3 linked regions of the Arabidopsis thaliana genome follow. Each later gene encodes a partner of the first gene's protein in a complex. Each region holds a gene or a part of one and is shown on either strand. Other genes may lie near its edges. The genes, in order: SYN3, SYN2 and SYN4.

Region 1 (10,483 bases):
CTTATGTATGTTAGAACATCATGTGAATGTTAGACATGAACGTAAAAGAATAACATGTTAGCTAGGGACTAATTACCAAAGCCATATTTTGAAGAACAAAATCAAAATGAAAGTTTATTTTGACAAGAATAATAGCAAAACATTATTTAGCTATTTTTTTTAAAATGGAAATCTATTATATCAGTCATATTTAGCTATGTTTTTCGAAAAAAAAACATTATTGCTATGTGAGAAATTCAACCGTGATCCTATAACATTTTTTCCCACAATTAAACATTGAATTTTCCTATTCCAGATTTTTTATAGCTGGACAAAAGAATTCATGGTGAGAGGCCCAAGGTCTATTACGACCTAGGCCCAGTACCACAAGTCAAGCCGACACAGACAAAAAATTGGATTCAATGTTTTTTTTTCTGACTCGATTTGGTGAAAAGACGAAACTTTCTCCTGGAAAAATCTGGAACAAGTTAGCGCGAACACGACGAATCGAATCAGAGTCCCAAGGAAGAAAAGATCTCTCTTTCATCCTTCTGGAGAATTCATATACTTTGGTCGATTGGTTTTAGCTGAAAAGGTCTCTGCTTTGAGACTAATTCTCAGATCTGTGTATTGCTTGCTTGCATCGCTTTCTACCTCATTGTCGATTTGGAGGAGGGAATTGAGCATTGGGTTTAGCTTCTTAAGTATGGGAAGACCTTTGTTTTATGATATCATTGAGAAACCAGCAACGAGCTGTATCGTAACGTTATGCAGTGTGATTTGGTTTGTGATTCAGAAGAAGAGTATTGGGTACTCTCAAGTTGGATTGAGTTACGAGACTGCAATCGAAGGGCATTACTGGAGGATGATTACATCTGCTTTATCACATATTAGTGTCTTGCATCTTGTGTTTAACATGAGTGCTTTATGGAGTCTTGGTGTTGTTGAACAGCTAGGTCATGTAGGTCTTGGCACTGCTTATTACCTTCATTACACTCTTGTTCTTGTTGTGTTCTCTGGTGTTTTGGTTATTGGGATCTATCATTTGTTGATTGCTAGATTCAAGATTGATTATTTTCGGCGAGTTACAGCTGTTGGTTACTCTTGTGTTGTCTTTGGTTGGATGACGATTCTCTCTGTTAAGCAACCTTCTTCAAAGCTGAATCTTTTTGGGCTTTTGTCTCTTCCCATTAGCTTTGCGCCATTCGAGTCACTCATTTTCACTTCGATCATTGTTCCACAAGCTAGTTTTCTGGGACATTTGTCGGGAATCCTTGTTGGTTACGCCATTTCGTGGGGTCTGATTGGTGGGATGAACAACTACTGGGCTCTTACTATGCTTGGTTGGATTGTAGTTGTCTTTGTGTTCAGTTTGAAGAAATCGGGTGCTTATGATTTCAGTTTTTTGGAGATCGAATCGCTTACTGATGCTTCTTTACCCTCAGTGCGGTTTATTGGAAATGGCCGGACCTTGCAAGCCAGTGCAGTTCCTCTTAGTGGAGTGGAAGTTGTCTGAATTCAGTTCATGGTCAATATTGTATTTGGGAACAAGTTCTTGTCATCGAGGTAGTAGATGAAGACTGAGAGTTGGTAACCAAGATTTTGCAGTTTCAAGTTCCAACCAAATTTAAGAGATCCTCAAGGCTTGCTTGAACTGCGTAATGTGGTGAAAAGGATTAAGCAAGCTAGTGTTGTTTAGGCATCATTACAGATGAATATGACACAGTCAATTCTTTTGTCATGTGGTTGATGTATAGTTGCAAAAGGGTCCCATGTCTTACCTAAAGATTCCGTCCACTAGACATGTTTCCTCATTTGTGACATTCTCCTTTATTTCAATACGAAAGCATGCTACCAACAGTCTTGTATTACTCGTTTTTCTTTGATATATTGAATTGGTGAAATAGCAGAACGATATATTATTTGCACTCTTTCAAGTTCACAAGGTAATTAGATGAAGTTTTCTGCAGGTCTCTTGGACTAGAGCAGTGTCTTCTTTTGTTATTAGTTTCCATCTTCTGTCATTTCCTTGTTTTATATTCCAAAAAGAGAAGGTAAGAGAAGGGTAGAACAATCACCGATTCACAGTTTCAAGTTTTTATTTATGAGCAGTTTTGGTTAGATGATTATTTTGAAGCTCTATCTCAAATAGAGTCATGAGAATTGTATTTGGTATCAGAGTAGTCTAACTTAGATCAACTTTTGACTAGTTGTTTGTTTCCATTGAACCTACTTTCAACCCAATTTTATTCACAAGATCTGCATTTCTCTGCACCCACAATGTTTTACATTGCTTATATAATTTGTACATTGATCAGGTGAATCTGATCTTACTTTCTGGTCCACCTCTAAGCACTTTTAAATGGAGAAGAAAGGCCAGCATGGTACATATGAATCAATGATGACTCATCATCCGATCCTCTGTATCATTGCTTTATCTGTACTTTTCATAGCAATCGACCCCTTTCACATGAGTCCAATCGGGGGTCGTGAGTTCAAACCCGTGAAGCATGAGGTTGCTCCATATAAGGAAGTCATGGGAAGCTGGCCTAGAGACAACCTTAGTCGACTGGGTAATCATGGGAAACTGGAGTTCGTGGACCAAGTCTTTGGTCCAGAGTCATTAGAGTTTGATAGTTTAGGTCGTGGTCCATACACAGGGTTGGCTGATGGAAGAGTGGTTAGATGGATGGGTGAAGCAATCGGATGGGAGACATTTTCGGTGGTAACATCAAAATGGTAAGAGATTACATATTCATCACTTCTTTTTTGTGCAGAGAGTTTTGTTTCAGTTTTTCTTATTGATGTGTGTTCATGAGAATTAGGTCAGAGGAAGCTTGTGTGAGAGGTGTGGATTCAACAACAAACAAGCAATGGAAGCACGAGAAGCTGTGTGGGAGGCCTCTTGGACTGAGATTTCATAAAGAGACAGGAAATTTGTATATTGCAGACGCTTACTATGGTCTACTTGTGGTTGGTCCTGAAGGAGGGATTGCTACGCCTTTAGCTACTCATGTGGAAGGAAAGCCTATACTCTTTGCCAATGACCTTGACATCCATAGAAATGGCTCCATCTTCTTCACTGACACCAGCAAAAGATATGACAGAGCGTAAGACAACTCTCTTATTCTTGCTTTGTATGTCAATTCCTACCGTAAATTGTATGATATAGAAATTATACTTGTATTTTGTAGGAATCATTTCTTTATATTACTGGAAGGAGAATCAACAGGAAGGCTTCTAAGATATGACCCACCTACCAAAACAACACACATTGTGCTGGAGGGTTTGGCTTTTCCCAATGGAATTCAACTCTCTAAAGACCAATCTTTCCTCCTCTTCACCGAAACAACCAATTGCAGGTATGACCCTCAACTTTGTGTTTATATAGCTGTATCTATCATTCATTTCTCTTCATCATTATGTGTATGACAGATTGGTGAAGTACTGGCTGGAGGGTCCAAAGATGGGTGAAGTCGAGGTGGTGGCAGATCTCCCGGGATTCCCAGACAATGTAAGAATAAATGAAGAGGGTCAGTTTTGGGTTGCAATTGATTGTTGCAGAACACCGGCACAAGAGGTTCTTACAAACAACCCTTGGATAAGAAGCATCTACTTTCGGTTGCCAATACCGATGAAGCTGCTTGCGAAAACGATGGGGATGAGAATGTACACTGTGATATCGAGATTCGACGAGGAAGGTAAAGTCCTGGAGGTGCTCGAGGATAGACAAGGGAAGGTAATGAAGCTTTGGATTGGAACAGTGGCTCATAACCACATTGCCACTCTACCTTATCCTTTGACAATGAATCAATGAAGGACTTTGTTGTGTAGTTCCTGAACTAAATCATCTCTCTGTAACTTAATTATCTTCGTTTTGATTCAAGTTCCTTTGGACCGGTTTGTCTTTTGTTGATATTATGTGTGACCTTAGATTCCTCATGAAATTCTCTTTCTTTCTTTCTTGAGTCTCTTTTTTTTTTTGTTTGGTTCACGTCCTATGGAAGGCTTCATAACTTGAGCCATCGCCCAGTCTTCTTCGACTCCCGCGAAATAGAAAACAAGAGTATGCAATGAAGAATTGCCTTGGAAAACAAGAGTATGCAATAGAGAAAGTCTCGAAAGTGTTGGAAGGTTGAAGATAAAGAGAATACAGAGAGGTAACGGAAAAATAACGACTGCTTTTTCTCCAAAATGATGACGTTACAATCATCTCCATTACGACGTTTTACTCTTTTTTCAGTAACTTTTTCTGTAGTTTGTTTGGCATCACATAGCAATGAACATTTTATGAAATCTGTGGTGTCTGCTTTCTTCTCAAAGCACAACTATCCAAAACTCCAAACTGTTGGGGCCATATATATTACTAACCAAGTTGATAGCAAAAAAAAATACAAATCCAACTCATAATTTAGTCTTGAAGTTATAAGAAAGAAACTCAACGGAAGTCTGAATCATAGTCATTCAAAAGACAGCAGAAAGGGAAAAAACAAAATCATCTAAGACAAGGGTATATAAAACCATGATAGATCCTGATTTCATAAGATCTTCAAAGGTCTTGCACACTCAAACCTGAAATAAACAATTGGCAAATTCAACTTAGATAGAGATAGACGCATGCGTTCATGGACCAACCAAAAATAACTTGTGACCTAAACATGCCAATTAAAAGTGTCTGAATTAAAGTAGATTAACCACAAGACTATTCGAATTCAAAAACCAAAATCCAACAATATTATGACACTAGAACTTTCAAGTGATGAATTACTCAAAGCTAGGAACATCTATCCAATCTAACAAATGTTATGAGATAAGAGGTTTCAAGTGTGTAATGTTTGGGCTGAGTCACAGAGAGAGAGAGAGAGAGATAGTGAACCTGGAGGAAGAGACTGCTTCAACTTATCGGCCTTCTCTTGGTCGAAGACACATAGTGTGTAGAGGTACCTTGAGCACCTGACCTTGAACTTCACAATGTCCTTGCTTCTCTTGATCTTCACAGACCTTGCATCCTTCCTTCTCGCCGTCAAAAGGAAGTCCTTGATCTCATGGATTTGCTTCGGCTGCAGATTATCCAAACCAACATCCATTTTCAATCAATACAAAACAAAACAGAACACACAACAAGACTTCGACCCAAATGTTACTGCATGATGAACACTTCATACATTTCAAGATGAAACTTAAACCAATGGGTCAATTACGAGGAAGACTCTAATCTACTAGATTATCAGTAACCAAACAAGAAACCCACAATAAGAGATTGATTACTTTCAGCTCAATCATGCAAACTTTACTAAAATCCTAGTCGTGAGAACAGATAATCAAACAAATAATATTTAGCTTCAATAATCCTCCTGAGAATAATAAAACTGAGAGGCGAAGAAAACTTTACCATTGTCGGATCTGATTTAGTGGCTGCAACTTTCTTCCACTCAAGAGAACAAACAGCAAAAGCAAGAACCCAGCGTCTGAAAGAAATAGAGAAACCTAAATATGAAGAAAACCCTAGACTCTCATATACGCGAATTTCCAAATGTACCCCTTAGGCCCATTAATCCGAAAAGTTGGCCATTGGGTTTAGTGGCCCAAGTTGTTTTGTTTGGCAAATTTCAAAAAACTCGGATCCAATAAGAAAAGGGTATTTAAGTCATTGCGTCTATTTGCCTATGATTTCAACATTAGCGCCACAAAATGTTTTTTCCCGCTCCACTAAAAAAACACTTCTTCCTCTCTCCAAAAGCACACAAAACCCTACCGCTTCGTCTCTCTCTCTTTCGCTCTGCAGTTTCCTATTCAAAATTGATTGGTTTCTCTAAATAATGTAACACCTTCGATTCGATAATCCTTCTCTCTCAAATCAACTTCAGTATCTCCATCTCTGCTTCTTTAGGGCTCCTTGTTCGAAGGAATTAAAATGTTTTATTCACATACGCTTTTGGCTCGAAAGGGTCCATTGGGGACGGTGTGGTGCGCCGCTCATGTGCACCAACGCCTCAAGAAGTCTCAGTACACCTCCATCAACATCCCCGACACTGTTGGTTCGTCTTTCCTATCTTCAATTTTCGCTTTTTGATCCAAAGTTCGCTTCTTTTTTTTTTGAATCCCCTTTGATTGTATCCAATTCGAAATTTCAAAAAGGCAATACGAATTTTTACATGGGCATTCATCAAATTCCGATTTTGTTTTTTATATATAACCCATTGTAGTAATTGAAATTCTCTGCTTTAATAAAGTTTCTGACTTTTCGAGAATTTTGCAATTGGCTTTGCAGATAATATAATGTTTCCTGAAGTACCATTGGCATTGAGAACGTCAAGTCACCTTCTAGTTGGGGTAGTGCGAATATATTCAAAGAAAGTGGATTATCTTTACAATGACTGGAATCTCCTTAATACTTGGGTAGCTAAGGCTTTCGTTTCTACTCAAGTTAACTTGCCTGAGGATGCCAGACAGGCCCCGCCTGAGTCTGTTACTTTGCCTCAAGCACTAAATCTGGACGAGTTCGACTTGGAAGATGACACTCTCGACATGTATTCTTCTTTCTTGCTTTTATTTGAGTTTTTATCTGTTCTAAAGCCTGACTCATCTTTAACATTCTTTTCTTGTGAATTCTAGGGAATTCGATAATCATACTCGGAGTGAGGAAGATATCACTCTCACAGGTACCTTTTGTCTGTGTTTTTTTTCCTTGGTTCTAGATGCAGCATACCATGATTTTGAGGTGTTTATGATGTTGATGCTTATTTTTCAGATCAAATTCCTACTGGCATTGATCCTTATGTTGCTGTAACATTCGACGAGGTGAGATTACTGCTTGCTTCTTATGACTTTGAAGTTGATTCTGACTTCTTGTTTCCCATGTCTCCGAGCACTTGTTATTGAATGAAAGTTTGTATGCCTTTCTTACAGGACATCATCTCAGAATCTATCCCGATGGATGTCGAGTGAGGCTCTTCATAGAGTTTTGATTTCCTTTACTACACCTTGCTCTTAATCTTCCTTATCTGTTTAGTTGATCTTCTTTAATAATGTTGTTACATATTTTTTTGCTTTGAGCAGCCAATCAACAGAACCTGTGAGTAGGCATACCGGAGAAATTGATGTTGAAACGGCTCATGAGACAGGACCAGACAATGAGCCAAGAGACTCCAATATTGCTTTCGATACTGGAACCTATAGTCCTCGTAACGTCACAGAGGAATTCACTGAAGTCCAGGATCCTAGACAAAGTAACTTGACAGAAGAGCGCATTCCCAATTCCGAGAGAAACGATGCCACTTCTCCTGGAACTGTTCCCGAGATTGAGAGAATGCGTGACGCTGCACATGATCTAAGCCCCACGTCCCATCCATCATTTGCTGCACAACAACAGGATGTCAGAGTTGAACGCACTGAGTCATTGGATGAAACTTTGAATGAGAAGGAACCCACTATCCCTAGTATTGATGAAGAAATGTTAAATTCTGGAAGGCATTCTGCGTTTGAGCTTCGCTCAGGATCTCCAGGTTCTGCTGCTGGTTCTGAGGAAGAACGTGCAGATTTTGGTGAGCTAGCAACATAGTCTGATAATTTGAAGCTTAACCACTACATTCTCTCTCTTATTATCTATTTAAAACACTTTTTTCTTTATGTTAAGTGCATCCATCACCTCAACTGGTGCTTCAGCCATCTCCTCCTCCCCAACCACAAAGAAGGGCAAGGAAGAGGAAGAACTTTGATGGTGTCACAGTATTAACCAACAAGTAATAACTTTTCCGTTGCTTCATGTGGCTTTGATTATTTCATTAGCTGTTCCGTACTGATCAAATAGTTTGAACAGGAACATAAGTGAAAGGCTTAAGGATCCTAGTGATACTCTACGTAAGAGAAAGAAGATGCCTTCATCCAAATTAAAGTTTTGGAGAATGAATAACCAGTCAAGGAAGGATCAAAATTTCAATGAGCCCTTGTTTACTGGTAACTTTCTTTGATTATTATTTTATTTTCGACAGTTTTGCCTTCTTTTTCCCTTTGTTTTTGAAGAAAGATTATTGCCTGTATGTGTCAACCTGCAGGCTTCTCAGATGATTTACGCAATGTCTTTGAAAAGGACTATGTAGCTTCAAAGCCACATCTTGCTGTTTCTGATGAAACTTTACCAGAACCTGCATCTGTATCTCCTACTCGAGAAGCTGAAGTAGAAATTAATCCGGTCTCTCCAATTCCAGATTCTACTAATCCAGACAGTACAGTTCAGCTATCTCCAGCGCAGCAAACTGAAGATGTCCTAGACTCTGCAGGTCCTCGACCCGCGCATGCAGAGTCTGTAGCAACAGAAGCACAATCTCCTCGGACATTTGATAACGATGACATGGGAATAGAACATTTAAGGGATGGTGGTTTCCCGGTGTACATGCCGTCACCACCTCCAAGATCTTCACCTTTTAGAACCGATGACTTCACCACTCAGTCTGGAAATTGGGAGACAGAATCTTATAGAACAGAGCCTTCAACTTCCACAGTTCCAGAGGACTTGCCTGGCCAAAGAAATTTGGGGCTTTCACCTGTTTCTGAAAGGACTGACGAGGTTTGTTCTCGCATGTTCGCGTGTTTTGTTTTTACCATTCTTGGTGCGTTGCTAACCTTGATAGCAATACCATTTGCATGTGCCATACAGGAACTTTATTTCCTGGAGGTAGGTGGCAATTCCCCAGTAGGAACACCAGCTAGTCAAGATTCTGCTGCTTTGACAGGGAGAGCAAGGTATATATATTCCTAAAACCATGTGGATTTCATTTAAGAGCCTACTGTTTCTCTACTAACCTGTAACATTCATTGAACATTGCAGAGCCTTGGCTCAGTATCTTAAACAACGTTCTTCAAGTAGTCCCACCACATCAAGCCATCCTTCTGGAGATCTAAGTTTGAGCGAGATCTTGGCAGGAAAGACACGGAAGCTAGCTGCTCGAATGTTCTTCGAGACACTGGTGAGTGATTCTCTGTACATATGTTTTTCTTTGTATCTCTGTAGTGCCTCGAGCTTAGACGAGTTGTTTTTGAATTTGCAGGTTTTGAAGTCTAGGGGACTTATAGATATGCAACAGGACCGACCATACGGAGATATCGCTTTGAAGTTGATGCCTGCCCTTTTTTCTAAGGTTCAAACGTGAATAAACAATGCTTAATAAACTTACTTATGTATATTATTAACATTGAAGCTAGACGAGGAAGTAGTCAATTCTTAATTTTTTGAGCCCTGGTTTTATTACATTGTGTACAAGTAAAGCTTCACCCTAAGAGATGGACAAACGTCTAAATTCCATCATTAGCCAATACTTCACTTGAGTTCAAATTTGACAATGTTGTAAAAAAACAAGTTTTTGAGATTCTCTATGATTCTGGAAATGAAAGACTAGCACGTGTTGTGATGGAGTGAATTATGGAGCTAGATGCTCTCAAGCCTCAACATGTGTAGATGCTCTCAAGCCTCAACATGTGTACCGATGGAATCAAAGATATCGATCACATAAATTAACGGAGTATACATAGATAACCTCATAAATGTTATAGCAAAACCTTCTTCAAAATCTAAAGACGACCTACCTATTCTACAATTGTTCTTCTTTTGTATATCTTAGCAGACTATGGAAATCTAGAAATAATATTATAAATTATAGGTGGAATCTATCGTACTCATCAGTCATCATTCTCTAAGGGGCATGACAGGACCATTGCATAAACTTGGTCTTTGGCTACAGTTCTCATCATGACTTGTAATCTCTTCTGGGATTTGGTTCTCCATCGCGGTTTGATTCTGTATCTCATGGTGTTTATGATTCTGAGACTGAATGTGGCTCTCAATCTTGATTACCTGATTCTAATAAAAGGTATGCAGTTCGATATGAGGATGGAATATTGCCAGATGCAACAAAACTATGTATACTTTATCCCTAAGTATGAAAGGATACGCTAGTAAATGAATGCACTGAGATATAACGTTTCAATTCATATGAAGGAATTTCGAAGAAGAAGAAAAGAAGAATCAACTTGTTGAGCATCTAACCTTGTACAAGTATTTCTTACGAAGTTTTATGGCTGTGCGTATGCATCTTCTCACTCTAATTGCAAGCAGCTTGTCATTACAAATCTGAAAATATCTAAAATCAGTAAGAAGTTTTATCGTAGTATAAAAAGTACAACAGTAGTATTCAGCAAAGAAACAAAGCCCAACATGCACAAATGCAGTGAAAAACATCCTACCTTTATCATGTCATCGATCGAGCGAGTTTCTTTCATGATTTTATGCCGATTCATGATTAGAATAGCCGCCACACAAAAGACTGGAAGAGGGTCATCTCCTTTCCCACAGGATGAAACTACACAAGAGGCATGGGTTCTTTCATTCCTAGACCATAAATTTCTTGTCAAGCCACATAAACTGTATGAACCTGCTGGCTTCATCCCAAAATCATCAGACAGCGGACCAGTTTTTGGCAATGGACCACTTTCTGGCAGTAGACCGCTC
Region 2 (10,483 bases), on another chromosome or scaffold:
GTCACTCGCAAACGCTGTATTTGCGGGTGCTAGCGATTGTTAGCGATTGACATCAATCATAGAAACCGCTAGATACTGCTTTACACCGTTCAAAATCGCCAGATTTCAAAAGCTCATTCCCGCAAGCATTTGCGGTTGCGGGCGGTAGCAGTTAGGTTATTTTTTTTTTTTAATTAATTAAAATAATTATGTCTTCTACCCAAACCCTATATATCTTATTCTTATTAAAAAAAACCTAATCAATATTTAACGGAAGATTCCAAAGATCCCAAAATCAGATTTCTAAGTGATGTTCAAAAAGAAAATATTCTTAAGAATATTAACGACCAGTTTGGGAAAAATTTGAGTTGGAGATGTGTTAAAAATCGTTTGGATATCTTGAAGAAACTTTATCATATGTATAGAGGCAATCCGGAAAACCCGCGAGTTCAACGTTATTTATAGTTTATCACACTACTTGATGCAATTTTTGGTATGTACCAAATGCATAAAGTATTAAACTTTTTCTTACAAAATTTATTTATTTTAAATTTAATGTTTTATTTATGGTTTTAATTATTAAGCATGTTTAATTTTTCTAATATTATCAATTTATCATAATAATATATTGTATTTTTCTTTCTTTTAATAGTAATATATTATATTTATTTTGGTTTTTTATTTAATTACTATCACACTTGCTGGTTTACCGGTCATAAAACTCCCGAAAACGCACCCATTATCAAACGCTTAACCAGTCGTTTAAAAGGCTTGATAACGCTTAAAACCGCAACCGGCCGTTTCCGCAAACTTGCGCAACCGTAACCGCACCCGCTGTATTTAAACCAGTCAGGCCCTTATATAAGAATTGATCAAATTATTGGGCTTTTAAGAGTTAGGTCGAGAGACTTTTTATTGGGCATAATTTTATTCTATTCAGGCCCATTCGCAACGTAATGCCACGTCGGACCAATGGTCTATGAGATGTCGCTGTCACTTAAACGCCACGTAGACTTTTAACCGGACACGTGTTATACAAAATGACTGTGCGCAGTTATAAACGTTTAAACGCTCTTAACGATGCGTGAAGGAGTGAGACAGCTCACATTTCCATCAAACTAGTCGTTATCTTTTAGTGTGGTAGTATTATATTATTTATTTACTTCTTTTTCTGTAGAATTTAGAAAAGGTAAATATAAATATGAAGTCAATAATCAGCATTAGCATATTTCAATTCAATTGTTATCTTCGTTGATTAATTTTTAACAGCAATGTTTTTTTTTTTCCTATTCAAAAAATTAACTTGTATATATATATATATATTTTGTTTATCCAAAATTAATTAAATAAATTATAAATTATCTAATACTATCAGACTATCACTCCCTCCAAAATTATTTTTTCTATTCTTATGGAAAAATAGGAAATTGCACAATTAAAAAGGAGAAGGTTTTTTTTTTTTTTTTTTGATCAACAGAGAAGGAAGTATCAATTAAAAAAAAATGCATAATTAAGAAGGTGTGATTTTCTGGTCACCGTCTAATTAGGAAAATTTAAATTTATGACACCTAATTCAAAACATTTTCAATTTCCAAAACTACATAACTTGTCAATAGACTTTAAAAAGTTTAATTACTCTAAAACGACTTGAAAATAAACAGATTAAGCGTGACTTAACAAGAAAAAAAAAAACTAAAATTAAAATTAAAAGAAAAAAAGTTAATCGGTTTAGTAAGAAGCTTGTTCCGTACACCGCTTGACCGTTTCCTTCTCCTCAATTTCTTCTCTCCCTCGCTTCACTATTTTACGAAGTTGCTCGCTCTCTCTCTCTCTCTCGCTGCTCTCTTAAAAAAAACTAACCTTTGTCTAAAACCCAGAATCTGGTAAACCTTCACACTCAAAAATGTTTTACTCGCATTGTCTAGTATCGAGAAAAGGACCTTTAGGAGCTATTTGGGTCGCTGCCTATTTCTTCAAAAAGCTTAAGAAATCTCAAGTCAAAGCTACTCATATTCCTTCTTCCGTTGGTTTGTCTTTCTCCTCCTTCACATTCTTCTTCTTCTTCTCTCTGTTCTAGTTAGAGATTTTTCTCCGGCGATTGGAAAAGTGATTGTTTGAGTGAAACTTTGCAGCTTTAGTGGATTTTTTAGCTGGAATAGAATTTTAGGGTTTCGTTTGTATCCATTGGCAGCGTTAATTAGAGATCACTGTTGATTTTGTTGGGGTCTTTCAATGTTACTTGTTTATGTTCATCAGTTGTTTGACAAAATGCCTGAGTGAACCTCAGAGATTGAGTTCAGTGATTTATTTTAAGTCTGAATAGTATCGAATCCTTAGTAGTATCAATCTGCCTTTTCTCATATAAACTTAAATCTAAACATTTCATCTTACTCACTTAGTATCAGAAAGCTGCTGGTCAACGCTTAGTTTGCTTGATCTCTAAAGTACTTGTATCCTCGAGAAAGATGGACTTTTTTTCTACAACATTTGACATTTTCAGTATTTTTTACTTTAATGACGTTTCTGATGTGTAATTCTTCGGGGGTTTTTTTTTTGGATGCACAGATCAAATCTTGCAAAAAGAGTTAGATGCGTTGACATACAGAGTTTTGGCGTATCTTCTTCTTGGTGTTGTAAGGATATATTCCAAGAAGGTTGACTTTTTGTTCGATGATTGCAATAAAGCGTTGATCGGTGTAAAGGAGTTTGTGGCTAAGGAAAGGAACAGAGAAAAGACAGGTGTATCATTGCCTGCATCTATCGAGTGTTTTTCCATTGCTTTACCTGAGAGATTTGAACTAGATGCTTTTGATCTTGGGGTTCTGGAGGATTTTCATGGGTATGCTTGTTATTTCTATATAGAATGTATTTCGCAGAGATTCTTTCATAGTCTCAACTCTTTTGTTTCTTCTTTCTCAGGGGAAATGTTAAGCCGCATGAAGATATTACACTTAAAGGTATCTTATCACTAAAGTCGTTTAAAGGGAATCTCATCACTGTTCATTTACTAATACCACTGCACTGCGATAAAACAGATGGAAGTCAGGAAACAGAGCGCATGGACATGTATTCGATGGAAAGGGTATGGTTTCTCACCTTATAGATTACTGAGTGTGTAACTGTTAGGTTCTAAGCTACTACAGCGTATATTGACATTGTTTCTTCGTTCCATTCCTTTTAATTCTGGTAATTTCGTGAATCTATATATGTAATAAAGATAATGCTTTGTGGAGTTGCAGTTTGACATGGAAGAGGACCTTCTGTTTACGTTTCATGAGACTTTCTCTACCAATCATAATGAAAATAAACAGTGAGTCTGATATTTTTGGTTCCATACATGTAATCGGCAAACACAATCCTAATTTTCTGTTTGTTGTTGCAGTGAGAGTTTTGCTCATGATATGGAATTGGATGCAGAAAATGTCAGAGATACCACTGAAGAAGCATCCGTCAGAGTCGTTGAAGCGGAACCACTGGATTCTAATGAACCATCCAGAGATCATCAAAATGCATCTAGGCATAGAGAGGATCCAGAATCAGATGACATTCTTCTGGAACCGCAAATGTCCGAAGATATCCGAATAGCTCAAGAAGAAGATACAGTTAGAGAAACCATATGTACCATTGTGCAGAGACTAGTGGATTCTCATGAATCCTCAGGAGATAATCTACACAGAGATGGTCACACAGAGAATTTAGAATCGGAGAAAACCTCGAAGAAAACAAGTTGCGAAGAGATGCAGCATGACAGGTCCCTCCCATCTGAATGCGGAATACCTGAAGCAATTCATGGGATTGAGGATCAACCTTCTGGTGCCACAAGAATTAATGGGGAGAAGGAGATCCCTGAGATGAGTACTCTAGAAAAACCAGAACCAGTATCTGTGACTGGTTCCAGAGACTTGCAAGAAGGCGTAGAAAAATGTCGAGACCATAATGAAGCGGAAATGGCAGACTTTGAATTGTTTCATGGGTCTCATAAAGAGCAATCTGAAACTTCTGAAGTGAATCTCCATGGTTCCGAGAAAGGTTTTCTCTCTGACATGACTGTTTCTAAAGACCCTAGTAGCGAATTTAATGCAACAGATACTCCAGTTACTGTCACTCCCAAAACACCTTCCCGGTTGAAAATTTCTGAAGGTGCACACTTTATTGAAATATGAGCTTAATATACTTTTAGTTACGTTTTTAGCGTGTTAACCTATACTTTGAATTACAGGGGGAACAAGTCCACAGTTCTCGATCATCCCTACGCCGGCTGCGAAGGAGTCTTCTCGAGTTTCACGGAAAAGAAAATGTCTGATAGATGATGAAGTGATAATTCCGAACAAGTAAGAGAACTATTTGTAACCTGGATTAGATTCGTCTGCAGAGTTCCGTACAAGTATGTAATATTTGGTTCTTTTGTTATTGTAGAGTTATGAAGGAAATGATAGAGGACTCAAGTAAATTGCTTGCAAAACGGAGAAACGTACCTCATACTGACTGTCCTGAGAGGAGAACCAAACGTTTTGCCAATCCTTTTCGAAGTTTTTTGGAACCTTTGATTCAGTGTAAGTAAAACCTGGTAATCCGCTGTATATCGTATTGTATTGTTGTGTTTGCTGATTGTTGTAATCCCGCAGATGGTTCTTCGGACCTCCAGTCGCTTTTTTGTCAACCCATCAAGCTTAAAAACTGGGCAACCACAGGAACCCCTAAAGATACTAAAATCGCTAGACATAAGGAAAAGTCTTCTCTTGACACTGTCAGATCTCCTGGGGTTATTTTATCTTCAGATCAGACTGAGAATACTCAAGAAATTATGGAGACTCCTCAGGCTGCTGCTCTCGCTGGGCTGAAAGTGACAGCCGGAAATAGTAACGTGGTTTCGGTTGAGATGGGAGCAAGTTCTACAACTTCTGGAACTGCTCATCAAACAGAAAATGCCGCAGAGACACCTGTGAAGCCTTCAGTTATTGCTCCAGAAACACCCGTGAGGACATCAGAGCAAACAGTGATTGCTCCAGAAACACCAGTAGTCTCTGAGCAAGTAGAGATTGCACCTGAAACGCCGGTGAGGGAATCAATGTCGAAAAGATTTTTCAAGGACCCTGGGACCTGTTATAAAAAATCCAGACCTGCAAGTCCCTTCACTTCCTTTGAGGAGCACCCGTCTGTGTATTATGTGGAAAATAGAGATCTTGATACGATTTTAATGAACGATGAGGTACTGCTGTGTTGCATCCTTCTGATAGTAGTTAAAAAGGTTTTTATAGTTCTTTTAGCCTATCTTATTTAATTGCAAGACTGAGCATTTTTTTTTTTTGTTTCTGCTTCAGCAGGTGAATGCAGATGAAAGACAGGACTTACAACAAGGTAAAACGCATTCTGAATTTTTGTAGGTCTCATGAGTGCTCAGGCTTTTATTGATTTAGTAGACAAGAATCTATTAAGTTTCTGAAATTATATGTAGCTTTGAGTGAAAGTTTCAACCATCGAAATATACGCAACTTATTTGGAATCCAAATCTTATCAAATTGTTCTTGTTGCATGTCGATCATCGTGCTGCGTCCTTACCATGTATATTTTGATTTGCAGAGACATGGTCCTCAAGAACAAGGTAACAGACTCACACTTTCGGTATCAACAGCTTCGATTCGCTTACATTCAGATGATTATCCTGGTTTTCTGACGCTGGATTGTACAGGAATGTGGCGAAATTCTTGGAAAAGACGTTTTTGGAACAGAGGGAAAGAGAAGAAGAAGAGAAGGTGAGTTTGTTGCAACTGTGTAGAGGAAGAACTCAGAAGGAAAGCGCAAGACTCTTCTACGAGACTTTGGTATTTCTCAATTTTTTTACAAGCACATGTCTTCACCGTTTTATCTGTCTCCATGAAAGACTTAAGATGGAGAAACTCTCTGAATTTGATTTTGCAGGTGTTGAAGACCAAAGGATACGTGGAAGTGAAGCAAAATCATCCATATAGTGATGTTTTTCTCATGCGTGTTTCCAGACCACAAAAAGCTTGTTGAAAAATGGATATTTTCTTCACTTAAGATTTTCCTCAGATTTCTTCAGTTAGGTTTCAGATTAATGTTGTTAGCTTTTAGTATCTTCTAACAAAATAGCTATTTTTAGTTTTTCTTTTAAGTTAATTTTTAGTAAGAATAATTGACGATCTAAAGTATATGTGTCTTATCAAGTTTTTAAGTTTTTAAAGAGTCCTTAGCCATGCTATAGATTGTTTTAACGACTAGCAGAATTGTTAACATGTGATAACGGGTGCCAGAGTTTCGTTAAGGACTGATAACGCTACATCTATTTTGATCAACGAATTTATATATTTCAAACGTTTATAAATATTTAGTTCACTAGATTTTAACTCGCGGTATATTGCGGGATGATTTTTTTTTTTAAAGTAGTATATATCAAAATTTGCAAAATATATGTATTTATAAAATATTGATTCAAACATATTCATCATATAACACCATTTCAAAATCCAAAATATAATTTATTCTGTAATTTTTTTATCCGTCTCGTAATTTGTTTTTTAAAAATATTAATTTCTAAAATTTAATAATTATTTATTATATATAAAAGTATACAAGTTGTATTATTCTCTAAGTCATTTATATTTTATAGTTTAACTTTATATATAATAACATTATACCACATAACATTTTTGGTTTTATACAATTTTTTCTAAAAAAATAATTTTGATATGTCTAATATTGGTGGTCTTAAAAAATAATAAATTAAAAATTTAACCCGTATTAAAGCGGTAGATTAATGATATTTTAAGTTTTTATTAATATTGAATCAAAAATCTATCCCTTCAAATCCGTTTTGCCAAAAAGCAATTTATTTTATTAATCTTATTTATGATATGACTATTCGGTAATTGGCATGTGATCCGTATTTAGATCCAATAAGCCTCATAATTAAGAGATGGATATTATTATTAAATGACTTTGCTAATTTTAATGACGTGAAACGATTTTGTTCTTGATTAGATTTTTTTAATGACGTTGTCATGTAATTAGTTAGAAAGTTAAGGTTATATTTTAAATTGGACTTCCCAAATAATATAGTAGGACTAGATTTTAACCCGCGGTATACCGCGGAACGATTTATTTTTAAAAGTAATATATATTAAAACTTGCAAATTTTATTTTTACAATATATTTATATTTTACAGTTTATAATTGTTATTAAGTAACGCTATACCACGAATTCATAAGACAATTGTTAAAAAAACTGAAGTTTTGACCCCTATTAAAACAGCATATTAATAATATTTTAAAATTTTATAAATATTGATTCAAATACATCCACCATATAACTCAATTCTAAAATAAAACACGTTCTGTAATTTCTTTACCCGTCCCATGATTTTTTTTTAAAGTAGTAATTTTTAAAATCTTAGAATTATTTTTTATATATAAAAGTTTTGCCAATTGTATCATTCTCTAATACATTTATATTTTATAGTTTAATTTTATATATAGTAACATTATACCTACCACATAACATTTTTGGTTTTATATAATTTTTTCTAAATTAGGATGATTTGATATGTTTAATATTAGTGGTCTTAAAAAATAATAAATTAAAGATTTAACCCATATTAAAACGGTGGATTATTTATATTTTACTTTTTTATTAATGTTGATTCAAAAACCCGTCCCTCCAAATCCGTCTTGCCAAAAAGTCATTTATTTTATTAATATTAGTTTTATTAATGATATGACTCTGAATTATAATTTAAATATTTTAGCTAATAATATAGGAGTGCACCATATTTATTTAATAGGGGAATGTACCATATGACCCGAATGCATTTTTATCCAAATCCACCAAAAAAGTCTTGCAAAAATACTATAGAGATAAGAAACGATAGTCGGTTTTGATAGATATAAGATAAGCAAATATATTAGTTAGCTTAAATTAGTTAAAGAATACAAATTAAAAAGGTATATTACACTTTATTCAAATATAGTATCAAAACTTATATAACACAGAGATTTGATAATTTTTTAATTGTTGAATACTTTTTTTGTTCTAATTTTATGTGATTAAGATTTAATTGATTACATATATAAAATATTAAATTGACTTATTTGTTTATAATTTGGTAACAGATAGATATTTGAATATTCAGTATATTTTGCTTCAGTTTAGGAAATCTTTGATGACCCGTCTTTAGATCCAATAAGTCCTATAATCTAGAGATTATCTGCAGTATACCGCAAGTATGCTTATATTTTAGTTAAACTAAAATTTTTTATTGTAAAGATGATTTAAAAATATATGATATTATTTTATTTGATTTTAAATGTATAGTAAACTGTGAACTGTATATGTTTTGTTGATATTATCTATATTGTTTGGTGTTTAAGATTATACACTTGTAGTTTGATTGTTAATTTAAGAGTTTCACATGTAGTATACCATCTTGTATTAATATCGATCTAAACCCGTCAATTGTAGGATTTTCCAGCTTGTATTAAAAATTGAATCACATCTAATATGTTATTAACTATTGTCGTATATAAGATTATAAATTTTCAATATAATATGTATGAAATTAAATATAAATATTTCAAATTTATGTCCCGTTACTCAGTAGAAAGTTTTCTTAAATCTATTTTTCACCCGTTATAATATTATTTCATGTATTGAACAGTTTATATTCGTTTTTAAAAATTCAAATTATGGCATATGCGAAAAAAACTCTAATTATTTTTTTATAATGATGATATTATTTTTTCGTAAAAATAGAATCATATAAAGATGAGAAGTGAACTATAATAATTAATAAAAATTAATATGATAATTTAGATACCAAATATAGTTTGTTGATTTTAATTGGTTACTTTTTTGGAAATTAATAATGTATTTCGTTTTTCTAATTAAATTAAATTAATTAAAATTTAGATATCAAATCTTATATGTTGATTTTGATTGGCTATTATTTTTGGAAATTAATAATGTTTTTCGTTTTTTAATTAATTTAATTAATTAAATTAGTATTTGATTTTTTAATTTTTAAAGAGATAAATTAATTTAATTTTTAAAATTTTATTTCTAATGGCATACTTATGTAATTACTTACAAAAATTAAAGTTATATTTAAAATATAATTCTCAAATAATATAGTAGGATGTTTTAAATGGCTATATATAAAAATAATGTATAAAATAACTAATATATTTATATGTTGTAGGATTAAATGACATCAAAATAACATCAAATTATAAATTTGAATGGAAATATAATTTGCCAAAAAAAAAAAAAGAGAATATAATAAATTACTTTATTATTCGTTTGTCGGCGATATTCTGTCCTCGTCACTCGTCACTCGTCACTCAGTAGCTTTTCTATACTTTTCTATACTTTTCGATATGTTCATCGGCTGAATCAGAGTAGGTCACTGGATCTCTCGTAAGTCTCTCTTCTTTCTTTGTTTTTCGATGCTATTAATCTCATATTGCTTTTTATATTCATCGTGATTCCTCTTTTTTGATTTGGTAAGATCTGTTGATACTCGTTACTAAATCCCAGAAATTGAGATCTTCTCTTGATTGTTTCGATCATCTGTTATTGGACTATTTATGTATGTACAAAAATTTCAAGGATCCTCAGGATAGTTCTTCTCTTTTGTCATTGTTTCAGAAACCTATTTGATGCTCTTTCGTTTCATGTTTGAAATTTGCAGATCCGATCATAGGTTCAACAATATGGAACAAATTTGGAATTGATGCAATATAAGCTACATTGAAGTATGGGATCTGTATCGCTGAAGATTGGCGATGGAACCGCAAGATTCAAGCGATCAACGCTTTTTTCTTCAGCTATCAACCTCCTTATGCTTTTCTCTATAGTCACTACAAATCTCTTTGCACTATACGCCTTCTCGTCTCGGTCTCAATCCCACACGCCACACCCTCTTCATTCCAACAATGTCTCTTTGGTTTCTCAACATCTCTCACTCATCCTCAGAGAAATCGATTCCTCCCACCACACACTCACTCAGATGGAGAAACAGATTATTGGTTATGAATCTCTCGATCTCTCGCAACAAGAAGTTCCACAAGAGCTTAAACTTTTCCTTCAACAACATCAGCTTCCTCTTGGTAAAGATTCTCGTACTGGTATCACACAAATGGTTGCATCTGTTGGACATTCCTGTGAAATGTCTCTAGATTTGTTATCTCAGTATATGTCGTATAATGTCTTTGAAAAATGTCCTGATGATTGGAGCCTAGCTCAGAAGTTGATTCTCCGTGCTTGTGAACCGTTGCCACGCCGTCGATGTTTGGCTAAAACGGTGCATAAACCAGGTCTCGCTTTGTTTCCTGATTCTTTGTGGAGACCAGTTGGTAACAGTAGTGTTAACTGGAGCGGTCTTGGCTGCAAAAGTTTCGAATGCTTGAAAGGTAAGAAACTGAGCCGGGATTGTGTTGGTTGCTTTGATCTAGCTACTAGTCATGAGAAAGATAGGTTTGTTAAGGTTAA
Region 3 (10,483 bases), on another chromosome or scaffold:
ATTGGTAGAGAGTTCTTAGGGTTTAGAGGAGATTGATCAGATAATGAAAATTTGGGATGCTCATCTTTATCATCTGTATTTTGTTAATTCTAGGGGCAACAGTTGCAGCTACTGATGTTGGTTGGTACATTCTTGGTGAAAATCAGCAGAACCTGGGCCCTTATACTTTCTCTGAGCTATGTAGTAAGTGTTCATGTTAACAGATTCCTTGTTCTAGTAAGGTTTATAAGAAATACGAGCTATTAAGCGCTGTACTTTACTTGTTTGCTTTGATTGGGCAGACCATTTCAGGAATGGTTACCTACTAGAAACTACTCTAGTCTGGGCTGACGGAAGAAGCGAATGGCAGCCACTTTCTGCCATCCCCGATTTAATGTCAAGGATATCCGGAGCTGAGATTGCCTATCCAGCTGTAGGTAAGATCCTTCTCACCATTGCTAGATAATTGAATTCTTGGTATTTTTTCTAGTATCCCATATTCAGGGCACTTACTATTTGGTATCTGACCAGGTTCATCTGGGTTGATAAATGGATCTAATGCTGGAACCAGGCAAGAGAAGCAAGATTATACTGGTTAGTTATTTATGTAGAAAATGAATTCTTCAATGTTATAATTTGCAAAAGTGTCGACCATGCTTACCACGGTATGTTGTTATTGTAGCCTCTGCTAGTACTGAGGATGAATTTGAGAAATGGCAGAGAGAGATTAAAGACGCAGAAGCAGAGGCTGAAAGGTTGAAAAATGGTTCTGTCTCTGGTACTGAGCTTGTTGAAGATGATCATGAAAGGGCATCTTCACCACCTGAGGGCGAAGATGAGTTCACAGATGATGATGGAACAAAATATAAATGGGACAGAGCTCGTAGAGTATGGGTTCCTCAGGTAAGGCTTTGTTTTGTCCACCAAATCAACCATTCTTTCCCAGTTTCAACTATTTTAGTGAGCTCAGGTGTCCACCTGACTTCCAAGTCGTGAGTGGAATCATTTGTGTGTGTCATCTTGCTTGGTGGCTCATGGCTTTACCTTTTCTGAAGAAATTCTCAATTAATTTGACTATCTCCAATATTTTTATCTGTGTTTATCAAAATTGACTACCAGGAAACCTAACTAGCCTACTCATTGTATTATTTTCTCTTTACTGGTTTTGGTTTTTCCCTAAGGAGCATCTTTTGGAAGAGAAAGTAAGAACTTTTTTAATAACCTAATTGATGATGCTGTTTATTGTAGGACGATCCACCACTGGGTAGCGTTGACCCGTATGGACTCGAAGAGATGACCTTTGCTAAGGAAGACGAAGTATTTCCAACAATTAACATTCTTGATACTTCTGTTGATAAGAAGGATGCCTCTAAGGATGACGTGGCTGGTAAGAAAGAAGAAGATGGCTCTGATGAAACCGCTGAAATAAACAGTAACGGCAAGAGAAAGCTACCAGAGCCAGAAACTGAAAAGAAGGTTTTTCTTTCTTCTTCTTTTGTCTTCCTTTCGGTTTCGTAAATTAACCTTTGATTCATTTCTCTTCCTTGAGGTCATACATGTTACGTCATGTTTGGTCTCACTTAGCTCAACCTCGAGCTGTAAGTACTGGATTTCTTGATTGTGGAGTCTTGATTTTTCTTCAGCTGCTGAATTGTAGTGGGTAAATTACTTTTTTTACTGATGTGCACATCGTAAAGGGGAAAGAAAAACCAAATTGTTCTAAGACATCATACTTATATTGGGACTAGCAGAATACCTTTACTATTTTTTTGTATTAACTAGTAATGGTTGTTTGTGTTGTATGAATCAAAGAAACTAAAGTTGCAATTCCTCATGAAATTTTCTGCAAACGTTTCTAAGTTTCAAATTCATTTTCAGGAACCAAACAAGCCTCCAGATTCGTGGTTTGAGTTAAAAGTAAACCCACATATTTATGTTAATGGGTTGCCCGATGATGTCACCATCGAGGAAGTAAGTTGTGGTCATACTTCTTCTACCATTATGAATATCTGAAGCTTTTAAATGGACTGATAGTAGGTATATCATTACAGGTAGCTGAAGTTTTTTCTAAGTGCGGTATAATTAAGGAGGTAAATCTCACTATCTGAAGATTCTTCCTGTGTTTTATTTTGGAATCCTGTGTAAGTATCCCCTAACAATGTGGATCTGGTAAACAATTCAGGATGACACTGGCAAGCCTCGCATAAAGCTATACAGTGACAAGGCGACAGGAAAATTAAAAGGCGATGCTCTTATCTCCTATATGAAGGTAATGGCTATATTTGAAGTTCTGTCCTCATGGGATGCATAAGGTTATGATTTTAAACTTTGTCTATTTTTCATCTTCATGTGTATTTGTTTTTGTTTTCACTAGGAGCCCTCAGTGGATCTGGCAATTAAAATCTTAGACGGGGCTCCGTTACGTCCTGCTGATAAGCTCCTCATGTCAGTTTCTCGAGCTAAGTTCGAGCAGAAAGGTTAATACTATTGCACATTTGTTGTATAACAACTTATCGGTTATGTAAAACATCCCATCTGTGGCTTTAGTTTCGGCAATATTTTACTTATGGTTTTTATTGGCTTTACTTTTTTTTTACTCAGGGGAGAGATTTATAACTAAGCAAACCGACAACAAGAAGAAAAAGAAGCTTAAAAAGGTCGAGCAAAAGTTGCTTGGATGGGGTACGTTTTCGCTTTCGTGTACTAAAAACTTACCTTATCTCTAGAAAGACGCATAATAGAGAAATATACTAGGAGATGCTAGAGATTCATTTCCTTACGACCATAGGAAGGTTTATTGTTAAAATTATAATTTCTTTTACTAGGAAAAGATGTATCTATATTGTCTGTGCTTTACCAGATCTTTGTGGAACTCTCTAAACTTAACCATTACTTAGCAAAAAGACTGCACTAAAGACTTTTAACCTAATCAATTTTGGAAAGAAACCTTTTAATGACGAGAGTTTAGAAACACGATATAGGGGTTACAGACATATCATTCTTTTCTTATTCTTTCTGGTGACTTGTGATATCTTAACTGATGAGCGTTTCCTGTTATTGAGCCATTTTTTCCTCCTACTATGTTTATTTAGGTCAGTGGCCATTGCGGATGCATGGATCAAAAGGGAACATATAGTCATGTCAATATTATCTATTTCTGATTATTCCTAGTTGATTTTGAGCATATTAAAATCAAAAGAAATGACCATTTTAGTTGTTGAAGTTGGAGATTGTTCCTAGTGGATTCTAAATTTTATCACATTTCCTCTCTTTTGTTGACGTAGGTGGTACAGATGATTCTAAGGTCTCAATACCTGCAACGGTTGTTCTGCGCTACATGTTCAGTCCAGCTGAGTTGATGGTAGGTCTTGTCCAATAGTTAATATGAGAAATGTTGCTATTTTTAAGAGTAGCTGATATAGCTTTGAGCATTTACTCTGTTTGCAGGCTGATGAGGATCTGGTTGCTGAGTTAGAGGAAGACGTGAAAGAGGAGAGTTTGAAGCATGGACCGTTCGACTCAGTGAAGGTAATAATATGATTTCTTTTTATCTTAAGCTGGTGGTCTTGCTTGCTGCATATAGCTTTGTGGAAAACTTGAGATTATTTTGGAGTACCAATCGAATCTCTTCTTTACAGGTATGTGAGCATCATCCACAGGGTGTTGTTCTTGTAAGATTCAAGGATCGGAGAGATGCACAGAAATGTATAGAAGCAATGAACGGTCGATGGTACAAACTCTCCTGAGTCATCATTTCCGCCTAATTGCCATTAGAGTCGGTATTGAGTCTGATGCTTACATGTACTTCTTTCTGTTTCTGGATGAATGCAGGTATGCAAAGAGACAGATACATGCGAGCCTCGATGATGGATCAGTGAACCATGCTACAGTTAGGGATTTTGATTTGGAAGCGGAACGGTTAGATCAGTTTGCAGCTGAACTGGAAGCTGCTGAGTAAAAAACAAAAGCACAATGATCTAAAGCTGGGAAGATTTGGATTATTATTCTGGGAAACTCAGGTTTCTGATGTAAATCACTAGGCACAGACACATCTGAATCAGACCAACGCAAACCCAGAGGACCGGTTTTATCTAGTACTAGTAGTATTACCTGTAGTGAAATTAACGAATAAGACTGCACTTGCAAGTGTATTTTGATATTCGTTGACTAAAAACCTTTACTACTATGTAATACGATTTTCTTCTAGAAATTTGAAAAATCGGAATTTAAAAGTTATGCTTCACTATATTTTTTCCTTATTTGTTAAATCATGATACTTAGCAGTTTTTGTGTGACACCATCACATGAATTTTTGTTTCTATCAATCATTTGTTTAAAATACTTTGTATTGTAGTTTGGACCTAAATTTCATACTTTTACAGCAGAATGTTGTCAGATGATCTCTAATAACAGAATCTTTATTTTTCTGTTTTTCTTATTAAAAAGTTTCGATTTTTTTCAGATTTCCCGCAATGAGGCAAAAGAAGCCGCCGAGTTGAAATATTTTGAAAAAAATGGAAAAACCCAAAATATTTTCAAGTAATAATTAAATGAAGTTAAATACTGTTGGGGCTAGTTGACGAAAACAAAAATTGTTGAAAAATGATCTAAATCTAAAGCTATGCGGGACCCGCTAATCTCTTAACCAATGAGAGAACGACGTATGTCACGGAACATGTGTTTCTTTGCCGCACCAAATCCCTCATTTAATCAAAAATCAACCAAAGATCCAAATTTCGAAACTTTTTAGTTTTTTTTGCATATCGCAATTTCCACAAATTTTACTGTTTTCCTTGGCTGTTGTTGTGTCTGAATCTCCAAGAAGAAAGAGTTGTGTCTTTAAGATTCTGCTTTTACCCAAATTGGGTGTTCTTTTTCCAAGTTTCTGAGAATTAGGGTTTCCGCGAGGACTCTGTTCAAATCGAGCTGTTTTGGACTTGTTTGAGCTTGGTCAATTCTACGGTAATTGATCTACCCTTTGCTCTCTATTCTACTTACCGAAGTAGTCTAGTGTCTCTGCTCAGTGGCAATTGCGAGACTTTGTTGTCGGTTTGAGCTATTTCGATTCTGTTGTCGAAATTTGGAAACTTTTTTTGATTCTCTATAGACGTATCTTTGGGGCTGAAGAAAGGGATTTTGTTATCTGAATAGTTTTTGAAGCTCAATTTTGTTACGGTGAAATTCTAACAAGTTGGTTCCTTTTTGTTGAATTTTTTTAGGGTTTTTTGGTATAGAGGACGAGGAATGTTTTATTCGCAGTTTATATTAGCTAAGAAAGGGCCACTTGGGACAATATGGATTGCTGCCCATTTGGAGAGGAAGCTTCGAAAGAATCAGGTCGCTGATACTGATATTGGAGTCTCCGTTGGTGAGTATTTTGCTACCTTTTGCTTTTGTGTACAATACCTCTGATTCAGGTCTCAGTTCGTTGTGCTCACTAGGGTTAGCAGAAGCTAAAGTTTCCTTCTTTTTCAGTTGTTATGTGGCTAAACAAGTTCATCTAAAATATTTCCTAATATAACTAATTTCTTTTTCTGAGCAGATTCTATTCTCTTTCCGGAAGCTCCGATTGCATTGCGATTGTCTAGTCATCTTCTGCTTGGTGTTGTGCGTATATATTCGAGAAAGGTGAATTACCTCTTTGATGATTGCAGTGAGGCATTGCTTAAGGTAAAGCAAGCTTTTCGCTCTGCTGCTGTTGACCTACCCCCTGAAGAATCTACAGCGCCGTATCACTCTATTACGTTGCCAGAGACATTTGATCTTGATGACTTTGAGCTTCCAGACAATGAGATCTTTCAGGGGTTGGTTTCTTTATGTTTTAACATTCAAACTCGTATTCCACTCTTACTCCAATTTGCATAATTTGTTTATTTGTTGCTCCTTGTTTTCCTGTCTAGCAGTAATTACGTTGATCATCATGTTAGTACAAAAGAGCAGATCACCCTTCAGGATACCATGGATGGCGTTGTATACTCAACGTCACAATTTGGATTAGATGGTCAGTGGTTGTTTCATATTTGCTTGTCTTTAGTTTGTAGATAGCTATGCCGTAGATAAGCAAAGTCATTTTAAAACTTTTGCAGAGCGATTTGGTGATGGCGACACTTCTCAAGCTGCTTTGGATCTTGATGAGGTATTTTTGTGTTTATAATAGATATTTTCTACTTTGTTCAAGTCATTTTGGAACAAGAAATAGGATAACCATATAGAAAGCTGAATATGAAGAGGTTATCTGTAGATTTCATTTGCTTTTAGATTTTGGGTTCTTTCTCTCCTCTGTTTGGGTAGACGCAGCAGCTGGAAGCTCTGATTGGTATCCAGTTGCGGAGTCCTAGACCGTGAAAAGCTTGTAATTTGAAGTGTTAGGTTGCAGTCATGTTGTAGCGTCAGGATAATGTTGATGTTTTCTTTTTCTAGTGAAGCTTTGCATATTTGCAATCAGAACTTCTCTCTTATTATTTTGGATGTGATCTTTTATCATTCCTCTCTTGTTGTGCAGGCAGTATTCCAGGACAAGGATGTTATTGGATCCGACGATGAGGGAGTTCCAGGGTCAGTTTTTGTTCATTATCTTTGGCTATATTCTTTGTAGCATAATTGCTTTTATGCTTCCCTATGGTTCCTCTCAAATTAACTATCGAAGTGTCAGCTTGATCTTCTTTTCTGGAGCTGTTCAGTACCTTTTCTATATTTTCATACCGCTACTTCAGATTGTTATCATAGATTTTAAATGCTCACATTAGGGAAGATCTCGAGTTGACTGAATGATAAAAAGCTTTGCGTTTTGGCGCTTGAATGTGTGTGTTTCAAGCTTTGTAACCATGCTTTTTAAGTTCCATGACATTCATACCTTGAGTTTGTGTTTGTTCTGTAATTGGATTGTGAATTAGAACTGCAATTCTGTGAGTCTTATCCTTCTTGGATGTGGACCTTTGGTGCATAATTTGGACGTGCAAATTATCAATCAAAAGTTTTACTTATGTAAGATATTCTATTTGTTGATAGTATTGATCACAACGCGTATCTGGATGCGGCAGCACCCGGGATAAAGGATTCGATGGAAGGAGTCTCTGAAGCCATGCCCATGGATTTTAATGAAGAGCAGGTGCGTACCATACATAATGCACGAGGGCATACCTATAGTTGCTTAATAATTGTCACCTGAGTCACAGTGCTTAATGTGATATATTTTACTTTGCATTATGTCTGAATGTACATTGCAGTTACAGACTCCAAATTTACAATTTGTTTACACAGATTTATTGGCTTACTTTTCTGGTAAGACTATTGGATAGTATTGTGAATCTCTCTTTTTGATAGGTTGAAGATCTTGCTATGAATAATGAGTTCATCGAAGATGCTCAAGCTCCTCAAACTCCTGGATTAGTTGAGGTGCCAAACTCGTCTAGTGTGAGAGAGCAGATGGCATGCGATGATCACATGGACGTAGAGGATCTGAATGCAGAAGAAGGTATAAAGTCCTCTGGGGAGCTGAATGCTAATGAGATGCCTAAACGTGGGGAAGACCTGTCTTCTGAATATAATGCCCCAGAATCAGCAGTTACTCCTGTGGAGGTAGATAAGTCACAGATAGATGAAAATGTCAACACACAAAATGAGCCGGAGGAGGAGAGGGCAGAGCATGTACATGTTACATCTCCATGTTGTTCTCACATCACCACCGAGATGGAGGATCCTGGTCAAGTAATGAATGAGGCAGGAGCTAATGTTGTACCTGATAAACCCGATGCTGTTCCTCCACTTGAAACCCCTGGAGAAGAGAACCGAGGTTTGTTGGCAAAGAAAATTGCAAACCTTATACGACATCTTAGTGCCTGCCTTATGCTTATAATTTTTATTGTTGCCAGATCATTTTGCCATTGCCACTGAGGTCAATCAGGAAACAGATTCTAGTTTACAAGGAGATGAGCAAGCGTACAGTAGACCAGATGGGCAGCTGAATAATGCACACGAAACTGATGAACAGTTGGGAAATTTGACTGGATTTACCGATTCTGATTTCCCTCCACCTGAGAAGGTATTAGCTGTACCTAACAGACAGGGGGATGGAAATGATTTCATGGTTGAATCTACACCAGATAAAGAAGACCCTGGCACATGTAATGATGATGCGGGGAATAATAACATTACTGGGAAAAAACGCACTTTTACTGAGAGCACACTAACTGCAGAAAGTTTGAACTCTGTGGAGTCAGTTGGACTGATTCAGTCAAAGAGAACTGCAGATTCTGTCCCTGATGACGATGATTTGTTGTCTTCTATCTTAGGTATCAGTTTATTTTGGATACTCTGTCTGTTCTTTTATACATTCTATTGCTCTTTGAGCTAGCTTTATGGATCAATTATCGTTGAATTTTTTTTTTTTTTCAGTTGGAAAGTCATCCTTTCTGAAGATGAGGCCTACCCCTGTGCTTGAACCAGCAACTACAAAACGGTTACGATCTGCTCCCCGCTCTACTGCCACAAAGAGGAAGGTTCTAATGGATGACCCTATGGTCTTGCATGGCGAGTATGTTTGTCTTACTGTTTTCTTATATCTGATTTTCTTATACCTTAGTTTTTTTGTTCCACTGCTCCAAGTGGACCTTTCATAGAAGTTCTTGTTTTAGCTACTTAGGTTCAAGACAGCTAGAGTCAGAAGTAAATTAATGTGAATCTTGAATTCGTTTGACTACTGATTTTTTCTTTACTGTAATTGGAGTTTGGTCTTCTTTTAAGTTTCACACCTTTAATTACCTAGGAGCGATATTTTTTTACCTTATCTCAATTTGTATTTGTTTTCTTCTGATGTTGCCTACTTTTCTGTTTAGCATTATACGTCAACAACTGACAAACACTGAAGATATACGGCGCGTGCGAAAGAAGGCACCTTGCACCGTTCCTGAAATCGTAATGCTTCAAAGGCAGGCTTTGGAGGATGGACTCTTTAAGGAGCCAATATTTACTGGTAAGTTCATGACACTAAAATGTAGACCGTTCTATACACGTTCTGTTGATTGTTCTTATAATCTGCAGTTATATAGCTAATATGTTTCACTGATTTTCAGGTATGTCAGTGGAATTAGTATCTCTGCACACTGAGCCGTATGATCTAAGAGGAATCATGATAATTGAGAATGATGACCGTCATGCTTCTGTTGGAGCGGTGGAAGATAATGAATGTTCTGTTACGGCCGTGGAAGAAAATAAAACGGAAGAAAGCTCTGATCCGCAAGCTCACCCAAATGATTGTGAGGAGCAACCTGGTACGGCTCATACTCACCCGCAGGAGGAACAAACCATAAACCAACAGGAAGAGCTGAAAGATGATAATGAGCTTGCTGAAAAATCTGACTTGGAGGTTTTGAAGGAAGGCAATGGAGCTGCTGATGAAGTAAATCTTGTAGTGATTGACGATGTCAGTCAAATACCGTCTGAGGAAAAACTCGACCGTGTAGAGGATTTACAGGTTGAAGAATCCCATGAAAACCATGATGGAGAAGGCGGGCAGGATGTTTGTGCGGATCCTAATGAAAAAAGTTGCACTGACGTTATTGAAATTGCTGAAGGCGATACAGATATCAACCCCATTTTCAATGAGATGGACTTGAAAGTTGAAGATGAACTTCCACATGAAGATGAGAAAACGGATGCATCAGCTGAAGTTAGCGAGCTTGGGAGAGACGATCAGACTCCATGCGATAACACAGTTGGGTCTACTGAAACTGGATGCCTAGAAGCTGGTGATTTGAGTAACATGGCTTTGGAAAATTGCAATGAACCTCTGGTGGAAGCGAATAGTGATGGGTTGAATCCAGAGACAGAGTCTTATAACAAATACGAACCGCATAATGAGATGTCTAATGAGGAGGCGTCTATGCAAAATGCATTAGATGGAGAGCATACTTCTCGTGATGGTCTTATGGGAGACAATGATGTAAGTTTCTTTGTTGCGTCATATCCTTATTCAAGTAAGACATGTCCCTGACTCTCTTGTTATCTTATGGTGTAGGAAATGGATACCATGGAAAATGCACATGACACAGGTTCTAAGCCTTTTCGAATTTCAATTCTTTTCTTTTCCAAATGGTCTGTATCCTCTTCATTTGATCAATGGGACTGATACTCTGGTCATCATATCCTGGTTCAAAACTGGACTCAACAAGCTTAAACTTGGAGCATAATTTGGATACGAGATGCTGCTAGTGCTATTCCCGATGATTTCTCAATGGTTCTTCTTATTAATTTCTTGCATTCGTGTCTTCAGGATTTTTGAACGTCGATGATGATGAAGTAGATGAAGATCATGAGGAGGATGACATACAATATGATGATGAAACTCGTCTTCTAGAAAACAGTGGATGGTCTTCTCGTACTAGGTCTGTACAGTTTATGACTTGCTCAGATTTTAGCTTCTATCATGTGAGAGACGTGATGTGATGGGCTTGAATTATGAAAGCTTCTGATTCTCTTTACTTTTAGGGCTGTGGCAAAGTATCTC

What was found.
Region 2: SYN3 (region 1) and SYN2 share a complex: the UniProt entries of both Arabidopsis thaliana proteins name them as parts of the cohesin complex.
Region 3: SYN3 (region 1) and SYN4 share a complex: the UniProt entries of both Arabidopsis thaliana proteins name them as parts of the cohesin complex.

The regions. Positions count from the first base shown.
Region 1 is NC_003074.8:21,991,369-22,001,851, forward strand, and holds SYN3 (Rad21/Rec8-like family protein), read left to right. Parts: upstream 1-5,683; 5' UTR 5,684-5,893; coding exon 5,894-6,017; intron 6,018-6,250; coding exon 6,251-6,509; intron 6,510-6,594; coding exon 6,595-6,641; intron 6,642-6,730; coding exon 6,731-6,780; intron 6,781-6,888; coding exon 6,889-6,923; intron 6,924-7,038; coding exon 7,039-7,523; intron 7,524-7,615; coding exon 7,616-7,721; intron 7,722-7,798; coding exon 7,799-7,935; intron 7,936-8,033; coding exon 8,034-8,545; intron 8,546-8,635; coding exon 8,636-8,721; intron 8,722-8,806; coding exon 8,807-8,945; intron 8,946-9,026; coding exon 9,027-9,128; 3' UTR 9,129-9,369; downstream 9,370-10,483. Other genes in the region: RBL13 (RHOMBOID-like protein 13), read left to right, coding at 686-1,495; LAP3 (Calcium-dependent phosphotriesterase superfamily protein), read left to right, coding at 2,342-2,718, 2,805-3,089, 3,174-3,341, 3,415-3,796; AT3G59540 (Ribosomal L38e protein family), read right to left, coding at 4,529-4,551, 4,856-5,039, 5,372-5,374; AT3G59570 (Ypt/Rab-GAP domain of gyp1p superfamily protein), read right to left, coding at 9,662-9,835, 10,022-10,105, 10,219-10,483. UniProt on the Arabidopsis thaliana protein: May be involved in sister chromatid cohesion during mitosis.
Region 2 is NC_003076.8:16,355,122-16,365,604, reverse strand, and holds SYN2 (Rad21/Rec8-like family protein), read left to right. Parts: upstream 1-1,726; 5' UTR 1,727-1,882; coding exon 1,883-2,006; intron 2,007-2,150; exon of another isoform or gene 2,151-2,544; coding exon 2,545-2,818; intron 2,819-2,898; coding exon 2,899-2,936; intron 2,937-3,014; coding exon 3,015-3,061; intron 3,062-3,218; coding exon 3,219-3,289; intron 3,290-3,361; coding exon 3,362-4,119; intron 4,120-4,198; coding exon 4,199-4,310; intron 4,311-4,395; coding exon 4,396-4,532; intron 4,533-4,604; coding exon 4,605-5,188; intron 5,189-5,300; coding exon 5,301-5,337; intron 5,338-5,559; coding exon 5,560-5,581; coding exon of another isoform or gene 5,582-5,585; exon of another isoform or gene 5,586-5,668; coding exon 5,669-5,801; intron 5,802-5,898; coding exon 5,899-5,994; 3' UTR 5,995-6,274; downstream 6,275-10,483. Other genes in the region: AT5G40830 (S-adenosyl-L-methionine-dependent methyltransferases superfamily protein), read left to right, coding at 9,750-10,483. UniProt on the Arabidopsis thaliana protein: May be involved in sister chromatid cohesion during mitosis.
Region 3 is NC_003076.8:5,311,560-5,322,042, forward strand, and holds the start of SYN4 (sister chromatid cohesion 1 protein 4), read left to right. Parts: upstream 1-4,637; 5' UTR 4,638-4,941; intron 4,942-5,198; 5' UTR 5,199-5,223; coding exon 5,224-5,347; intron 5,348-5,521; coding exon 5,522-5,783; intron 5,784-5,882; coding exon 5,883-5,980; intron 5,981-6,065; coding exon 6,066-6,115; intron 6,116-6,481; coding exon 6,482-6,534; intron 6,535-6,987; coding exon 6,988-7,087; intron 7,088-7,302; coding exon 7,303-7,771; intron 7,772-7,850; coding exon 7,851-8,270; intron 8,271-8,373; coding exon 8,374-8,512; intron 8,513-8,813; coding exon 8,814-8,950; intron 8,951-9,050; coding exon 9,051-9,919; intron 9,920-9,994; coding exon 9,995-10,028; intron 10,029-10,249; coding exon 10,250-10,361; intron 10,362-10,464; coding exon 10,465-10,483. Other genes in the region: ELF9 (RNA binding (RRM/RBD/RNP motifs) family protein), read left to right, coding at 94-183, 282-416, 511-573, 662-882, 1,228-1,455, 1,858-1,950, 2,031-2,069, 2,162-2,248 and 6 more. UniProt on the Arabidopsis thaliana protein: Involved in sister chromatid and centromere cohesion during mitosis.